Linked DNA regions of Cricetulus griseus. The protein of the gene in region 2 interacts with the protein of the main gene of each other region in a pairwise test. Links are inferred from orthologs where the notes say so. Each region holds a gene or a part of one and is shown on either strand. Other genes may lie near its edges. The genes, in order: Arl2 and Tbl1xr1.

Region 1 (4,457 bases), on a different chromosome or scaffold from region 2:
ACTTCTGGCCACCCACATCCCAGATGTTCAGTTTGAATCTGGGAAGGAAGGGACAATGAAGGTCAGGCTGGTCCTGCCCACTGTGCCTTCCCCCCCCCCCCCCCAGTGGCCCTACTCACCCCCGGTGCTCACAGTGGCCCTCAGTGGTCCTACTCACCCCTGGCCCCCACACAGTGGCCCTCAGTGGCTCCCCCTCAGTGACACTACTCACCCCCGGTGCTCCAGGGTTTTGATGTTGAAGCCCAGTGTTGGGGAGATGGTGTCCACGTCTTCCCCATTGAACTTCTTGAGGATGGTGGTTTTGCCAGCATTGTCCAAGCCACTGGGACACAGAGCTAAGGAGAAGTCTCTGAGCTCTGCTGGAGGACATGTCATCATACTACCAAACTCTTAGGGACTACTGTATATTGAAACAAGTGGAGCACATGCCTGACCCATAAGTGGTTTGAGGTAATTATCATCTCGGCCAACTTAAAGTAACTTTGGTTAGCAACAAATATTAAGTGCCTATTATGTGCCAGGCCTCCTCAGGTGTTGGTGGACAAAGTCTTCACCCTTATGACACTTAAACACTAGCAAAAAAACAAAAAACAAAAAAACAAAAAACCTAAATAATGGGGCTGGAGAGGTGGCTCATCAGGTCTTGCAGAGGACTTGAGTTCAGTTCCCAACACCCACCCACATGGTGGTTCACAACCAAACCCTGACCGCTATGGGCACCGGGTGCTCAACATAGTACACATACATATATACAGGTAAAATACTTACACATATAAAGTGTAAGAAAAAAAATTAAAGACTAAATAAAGCAGACAAAGTTGGGTATCTGGGATCCCTGAAACCTGTGAGACATTCCTGAAAGGAATGGCTTTCAACTTAGGCATCAGATAAGGCTCGGTGGGGTCTTGAGACCCAATATAGATGCGCCCAGTCCTCTGAGGGACCAAGTAAGGCGCAAGTATCTAGAGGTGGCAACCACCTTCATCTGTTTCTAGAATGATCCACAGCCTCTGCTGCAGAGAACAAACCACTGGGTGAGCTCAACGGCACGTGGGAACTTGGGGTGACCACAGTCTGAATTGAGGGGTGGGAGGGAAGGGGCAAGCTCTGCATTTAGACCCTCTTCCTGCTCACCTGCAGGCCCAGTGACCCTTGAAAGGTCAGGGCACGCACTAGAAAACGCGCTAAGTCATCACCATGTCACCCGCCACGCATGAGGACTCTGGGCATGCCTGGAACCTCAGTGCCCACTCGCAGTCTTCCCTTTAAAAGCTCCAACTTTCCTGCTTCGCGCTGTCTCTCTGCTTTCTCTCTTTACGCCGCTCTCTCTTTGCTCACTCCTTCTCTGCTCTTCTCTTCTCCCACCTACGAGCTCTCTCTGCCTCTATGGCGACCGGCCATGGCGGTCAGCCATTACCCCTGTTCCTCTTCTCTTTTAGTCTGCCGGGCCATATAATAAACTAGTTAACATGTCTCATCTTGCAGCTTTCTCTTTTCCTCCTTTTAAATAAAACATAACAACCCTCTTTTGTGAGAGGGGGTGAGCAGATTACCTCTCATCAGCAGTCCAACTTTACTCTTGGAAAGCCGGCCACTGATTATCCCAACCCTTCCAACACCCACCTGCCCAAACAGAGTCAGGACCTGCTCCTCTCCAGTATTAGCAAGTGGCCAGAAACCAGGGATTCCGGCGTGGCTTCCCCTTCTCCCTCACATTTTCCTCCAGTGTAGCAGCAAGTCCTACCAGCACTACTACCCACTACTCCCTTCCTCCATCCTGCTCCAAGCCACCATCCTGTGGCCTAAATGGTCCCAGCCCATGAGGTCTCCTCCCTCTCTGTAGTCACTCTTCACTCTTTGACTTCCCTCGAACATGGTAGTCTTATCCTCCCCCAGGTCCTTTGCACTTGGAGGTCATCCCCAGACATCAATACCTTCCTCAAGTCTTTGCCCAGTACTTCTTATCTTGGCACGGTCTTTGACCACTCCGGACTACGTTCTTCTCAACCCAAACTACACATTTTATTTATTTGCTTTACAACTTCTTTCTCCTCTTCCATTATCCACAAGGAAGGCTTTTTCGTTTCCCTGTTTCACGGCATTCTCTAAATAAGTAGTAATCAATAAATAGTAATCTAATGACTGTCTTTCTCAAACTGTCTACAACTGGCACGGGTGGTAACGTTGGAAGTGCACATTAATTTACCTCTTCTCTCCCTGCCAGTTTGAGGATCACAGATGCTCAGGTGCCAGACACAACACAAGGCGGGCGATGCAGGTGCTACTTAATGCAATGGAAGGTCGGCCGGGGCCCTGAGTGACAGTTAACCTGGGACCAAGTCCACGCCTACCCTCAGGGGCCTAGGCGGTCCTCACGCCCCGGGATTCCAGCCCTGAAGGAATCGCCAGGGCCTACACGAAGGGGAGGGGGTCAGCGCTGGGGAGGAGCGGGGCCCACGTTCGAGCCAGCCCGAGACACCGTGACGTCCGGGTCACCACCACCGCGGCGCGCCTTCCTACGGCACTGGAGACCCGGGTCCAGGGCCGGCCTTCAGGACCACACCGCCGCCGTTAGCACGCAACCCCCCGCCCCGCAGAGTGGTACGGCCCGCCCCGGCCCCGCGCGGAGCAGTGGTAGCGCCGCGTGAGTGACGCACCACCGGCGGTGGGGACCCACGGCGGCCGCGCCCCCGCGCCCGGCTCCGCCCACCCGGCGGGTCCCGCTACCCTCGCGGCCGCTGGGGCGCTCTGAGGATACAGCATGAGCAGCCGCAGCTCTCGCTCTTTCTGCTTCATCTTCTTCAGAATGGTCAGAAGCCCCATGATCCCGTAGCCCCCTCCCGGCCGCCGTTTCTTCCAGTCCCGGGACCCCGCTCCAGGCTCCTATTGGCCAGTCTGGTGCTTGGTTCCGCCCTCGACACCACGTGATCACCGGGGTGCGTGGCGTCGCCCTCTAGCGAAGCGGCGGCGAATTTGCTGCCTGCTGCTTTAACCCTTCGCTTCTGAGGTTCGGAGGGGACCTGGGTAAAAATCAGCAAACCCTCCGACTCCAAGGCCTCCATCGGGGACGCGGGGCTGACATCTCGGGCTGTATCTCGTTTAGGTAGGGAGAACTCGCGAAGGGATTCTGAGCCAGGAGTCCGAACCTAGTTCCACAGGCGGCTGACAATCATCCGGGGGCCGTAAAATGGCCCGGTTCCCGCTCATTTTGTGACTTGCATTATCCACATCTGCCAGTGAGAACGGGTTGATTCTGGTCCGGGACTCTGTCGGAAATGGCTCTGTGCGTTTAGTCGAGGGTGACGATGCCCCCTAGGGGCCGTTTCGAAATGTACAGGCAGTAAGGGCTCCTTTGGGTTGTTTCAGTGACCACACAATAGTCATAGTCATTTAAAGCTCCAAGCTTCCCGCAATGCAGCGATCAGACCTGCACAAAGGATCGCCGGGAAGCTGTCAGGTTGAGAAGCTCGGGCGACCCGGGTAGTGGTGGCCTTTAATCCCAGCACTAGGGAGGAAGAGACAGGCCGATCTCTGAGTTCAAGGCCAATTTGGAGTACCTAAGAAGTTCCAGGTCAGCCAGTGCTAAGTAGAGAGAACCTGTCTTAACAAACATTGGAGCCCACTGCTGGCATGTAGTAGGTGTGTTCAGTTAGGTCGTTCAGTAAATGACTTTGCCCAAGACTTAGTTCTTTTTTGTTTTGTTTTGTTTCTTGAGACAGGGTTTTTCTGTGTATCCTTGGCTGTCCTGGAACCCGCTCTGTAAACCAGGCTGGCTTCGATCTCACAGAGATCCTCCTGCCTCTACCTCCTGAGTGTTGGGATTAAAGGCATGCGCCACCAACGCGTGGTTGGTGACACACTTTTAATCCCGGCACCTGGAAGTCAGAGGCAAGTAGATGAGGCCAGCTTAGTCTACATATCGACTAAGCCAGGGCGACATATAGTGAAACTGTTATGCCCAGATCGTGGAAACCCAAAAATCCATCACCGAGGAAGCGACACACCGATGTAAAAACACAGGTTTCTTTTTTACGATTTGCAACTCGGACCCTGCCCGTTTGGGAACAGGCTGAGTGCCGCTTTTTTTGCTGAGGGTGTTTTTTTAAAGGGAAGGTTCAAATGAATGAATGTCTTGAGATTGCAAAATTTTATGGTTACATAGGATGAAACAATAACTATGTTTAAGCAGGATGCAATTAAGCAGGATGCTGTAGAGGAAGTAAGTTTAAATTTGTTAATTATCTCCTAGGCAGGGACTTTTACAACTACAAATTGACAACTATCGGATCTTCTTTAGGACAGAGAAATGTTGACACAGTTGGAGGGTGTTATCTGTTCTCAGGCCTCTGTACCCAGTTCTTTGTTTAGCCTTATCTGTCGGGCTGCCTTTTTGGGAACTCAGAGAGAGGTAAGAGGTTTTCTATTTGGGCTTTGGAGTCCAAGTTTTAGGCTTTTAT
Region 2 (4,269 bases):
TCATAAATGGTCATCTAGAAAGAGTGAGCGGAGTCCCTCTTTCTAGAATCTCTCCCATCAAAGAAAGCCAACACTCCAGACTGACCACAGGGGATCAGTCTAAATGGCAGGCTGCACCTCACAACTCCTGGAGGTGGCTCAGAGTCCTTTTCCTTTAGCTCTCTGGTAAAAGGGCAATTACTTGTACTCTTACAGTCTATGACACCAAAGGCAGTTAGGTAGTAAAAGCTCCTGAGCATCAGCACTCCACAGTTTCTGTTGGTGGCAGTTCCATGGGCCTTACTACACAGCCAGCCACAGGGAAAGTCTGAGGATAAATAGTAAATGTCCGAAGCTCACTGCCTTCCTCTTCCCACTTCAGGGCTGTCCATTCTAAATGTTATTTCTGAAAATGAGTCAAATCTACATGTACCAAAAAAACAGTTCTAACCAGTGCCAAGGTTTCTTTCACCTCTCCCCTGAGCTCCAATGCATTTCTCTCTGTTTTTATATAGGTAACAAACCTAACAAATTGTTGCAACTAACTTCATCTAAATGTGCTCAATCTCCACAGTAACATTCCATTGACAAAGTCTGTGGGGAAACTCATTTGTACACAGCCTCTGACCACACTGTAGTTAGACTTACTCACCACAAGTGAGCTAGCACATTTACTCAACAGGTTGAAGCTCCAAAGGTCTACCTGGCACACCCTTTCTATCAGAAAGTCCATGTTTATATGGCAGGAGCTACCCTCCCTCTCTGCTCACCGGTTTCAAAGCTTCCTAATTCACAGGACGAATTTCTTCCTTGTTGTCTTGGCATACAGGTATCATGATAATCAATCTTGCAAAACTCTTAACTAGGTAGACTGCAAGTATCAAAGGGGTACTTACTTGGGCATATGTAAAAAGTTAAAGTGTTTGTCGGTTCTTCAACAAGTCAACACAAAATACAATCAATCTCATGGCTGGGCGGTAGCTCAGTGGCAGAGCACTTGCTTTAGGCTCAATTGCCAATATCGCCCCCAAAACACATCCAAATTAAGAAACTACTCCATCTCCTATGTTAACAACATGTACAGGTTGGAAGTGTGCTTCAAACAGAGGATGAAGGTGCAAGAATTTTTAAGTCTGTACGTAGTTAATTGGTTTGACTTTTGACACTGTTTTCTTTCCCCACAAGTTAGTGTTGGTCCTAAATACTAGAGATCTGACTCCATTCATTAAACTACACAAGAGAGGGAAAGTGACTGGAGTGTTTAATGTTTGTGATTACAGACTTAATGCCTTGCAGAACAGCAAAACTAAGACAGAAATACACTAAAGCGGCAGAGAAGCCTCGACTTGGCTGCACTCAGGGCCTGCCTGCCTAACTCCTTCCAGGCACGTTTTCGTCCTGCCACCCCTCCCCCATAGGTAAATGCCAACTGTTTCTAGAACTCTCAATGATAATTTGGGAAGGTTGCCATTAACTCCCACGTTTCAATCCAACTGATAAACAATGTTTCTGTGGAGACAAAGATGCCCTACTTCACCAGACTATAAACTTATTAAAGTGGTGAGAACATACAGTCCCAGGAAGTCGGGATTACTGAAGTACTCTAATAAGCATGGCTCTTATTTAACAAAAATGAACATGAATCACACAGGGAAACCCCAAAGTCACTACCTTCAACAGGCCATCGAGATACTTATTGCAAGTTATTTTAGCTAAGTTAAATCAGATGCTACAGCCAAGTGATTTGGGGACAGGAGGAAAAAGACGTTACTTTACATTGGTGGGGGAGCATTCAGGCTCAAGATTCAAACCAAAACACAGCATTTCACCCATCATATTTTATTAACATGTTCAGACCAGCCTAAGGTTCCTATATGGGAAACAAGAGGGCCAACAGTAAGCTTCCCTAATTTACTGTAAATGACATAGGTAGGAAAACCCTTCACCCTGGGTCTTGTGAAGTTCAAGGTTTTAAGAAATCTCCAGCCTGAGGAAAAGTCATGTTGAGCTACGTTCCAACACTTCTGTGTGATCACCAAATTATTCTCAGTATTCGGTAACCCAACAAAGAGTGAGTTTCTTAAAAGCCACCCAATCCAAATGTTACACGTGAACAGACATTTTCATAACCTAAATTTAATCCAAACTGAGAACTTCCAAAATTACTGAACACTCCGAAACATGCATGGCTCGCCTCGAGCTGCCTTTCAACATGGAATATTACACTTAAATGAAAGTCTGCCCTGTTCCAAAAAAGAAAAAGACATCGGTTGCAAAGAGGAAGTTACCCAGCAAACACTCACAACCTGGCCTCTACACTGTCAGAAAGATAATGTGACTTGTGTGCCACCCCGAAACTTACCAGGAAGCTGGCAATAAGTTTGCCAACTGTATACACTTCTGACCCAACTTTACCGAGACTGTGGCCAGGGCCTCCTTGTGGAGGGGCCACAGAGACAAGGTAACCACACGCGCGTCCCGAGTGAGCGAGACCCGCCCGCGCCCTCCCCCCGCCGCACCCCAACAGCCGCCCGCAGCCCCCGCCGCTGCCCGGAGGCTCCGCGCGGCGGGGCCCAGAAGGGAGCGCGACCGGGTGACTGCAGCCCGCGCGCCCCAGCGCGGACGGGCGCCCATCCCAAGCCCAGCCCGCTCCCCCGCTAAGCGAGCTTCGAGCGGCTGCGGCCCCGCATCCAGCCTGCGCCCCCACGCCCGCTCGCCAAGGCGAGTGCCTCCCGCAGCCCGGCCACCCGGACCCGGGAGGGGGGGCGGCACGTGAGCGCGGCCGCCCCTCCCCCGCGCCCAGGCCAAGTTCGCAGCGCCCGCCGCCCCGGGCCCGCGCTCACCTGCCTGGCGACGCTGTCCCCTCCCGGATGCGCGGCGCTCCCCTCCTGGCCGCCGTGGGCACCCTGAGGCGCCCTGGGGTGCTGGCGCTGACAGCCGGGCGGCGGGTCCGGCGGGGGAGGGGCGCGGGGCAGGGCGCAGCACCGAGGCAGGAGGGGAGCTGTTACTAAGGGAGAGAGCCAAGCGCGCGAGCGGCCAACGGCTCCGGCTCGGCACCGGGGAGCGCGGGGACCAGCCAGGCACAAATGAGCTCCGGGCCCGCGGCGGCGGCGGCGGCGGCGGCGGCGGCCCGCACAGCAAAACAAACCCGAGCGGCCTGCGCCCGGCGCGCGGGGAGGGAGGAGGGAGCGAGGAGGGGGATGGAGGGGAGGGGAGGACGACCCGTGTAGGGGGAGGGGAAGGGCGCCGGGAGGGGTGGGGGAGGGAGGAAGTGAGGAGGACCCCGGAGGAGGAGGGGAGCCTGGGAGGAGGAAGGGAGGGAGAGGAGGCAGGGGGGGAGGGGAGCCTGGAGGAGGGGTGGGGAAAGAGAACGTGGAGGGGGAAGGGAGCCTGGAGGAGGAAAGGCGAGGGGGAAGGGAGCCTGAGCCTGGGAGGGGGAGGGGAACCTCGAGAGGGAGGGAGGGAGGGAGGATGAGGGGAGGAGCGCTGGGGGGAAGGGACGCGCCGGAGGGGCGGGGCCCCAACGGAGGCAGCGAGGCGGTGGGGGTGGCGGCCGGCTCGCGGCTGCACTCTCCGCTTCCTCACTTGCTCTGCTTTCCCTCCACCCACCCTCCCTCGCTCCCAGGCGGCGCTGGGGGTTGGGCTCCCGGAGCGCATTCGTTCCAGAGCCGGCAGCCTGGGCTGTCCCGCGGACTGGGTGGCACTCGGGTCCCCTGCCTCCTGATTCCCAGAGGCAGGGGGCCGGTGAGGGAGCGCGGAGCGGGCTCCGGATGGGACATCGCGGGCAAAGCGTCGCTCACTCCGTTGCGTGTAAACACGCCTGCTCGGAAGTGTACCTGGAAAGGTGCTTATCTGCAGGGAGCGAGTGGCAGGATGGGGGACCCGAGCACCGCGCGTGGGGGAGGCGCGCACACGGAGAGAAGGGGTTTGGTGCTATTTCAAAGCTGTAATTGAAGTATGTGTGCCCAGTTGTGCCACTTGTCTTCTGGGTCTCTTGGGAAGGTTTGGTCGATCAGTTCACATTGCGCAAAAATAAAGTCATAAACTGAATGAATGTTCACTAAGTATGCACCGGGGTGTGGCTTCCACCGGAGTTTATCTCCTACTTTTCTGCATGCGTGTGGCACGTGAAGGCGGTTTCAGAAGTACCCCTCGGCTCCTCAATAATGTCACATTGTGACTGGGGGAGTGCTGAGAGCTTGTGTTTTGTTTTTTAAGGAAAACATTTTTAAGCACTGCGTTGACCTTCCTGAGCTTTTCAGAAACCTGGAGTGTAAGAAACAGCCTTCC

The links.
Region 1: the proteins of Tbl1xr1 (region 2) and Arl2 interact in binary tests that used the Homo sapiens proteins (3 or more experiments, as listed by UniProt). The two-hybrid records come from large-scale screens. The link is inferred for Cricetulus griseus from reciprocal best matches to the Homo sapiens genes TBL1XR1 and ARL2.

The regions. Positions count from the first base shown.
Region 1 is NC_048596.1:53,197,916-53,202,372, reverse strand, and holds the start of Arl2 (ADP-ribosylation factor-like protein 2), read right to left. Parts: upstream 2,962-4,457; 5' UTR 2,824-2,961; coding exon 2,759-2,823; intron 323-2,758; coding exon 212-322; intron 39-211; coding exon 1-38. UniProt on the Homo sapiens protein: Small GTP-binding protein which cycles between an inactive GDP-bound and an active GTP-bound form, and the rate of cycling is regulated by guanine nucleotide exchange factors (GEF) and GTPase-activating proteins (GAP).
Region 2 is NW_023276806.1:126,368,482-126,372,750, forward strand, and holds the start of Tbl1xr1 (F-box-like/WD repeat-containing protein TBL1XR1), read right to left. Parts: upstream 3,101-4,269; 5' UTR 2,823-3,100; intron 2,479-2,822; exon of another isoform or gene 2,342-2,478; intron 1-2,341. UniProt on the Homo sapiens protein: F-box-like protein involved in the recruitment of the ubiquitin/19S proteasome complex to nuclear receptor-regulated transcription units. Plays an essential role in transcription activation mediated by nuclear receptors.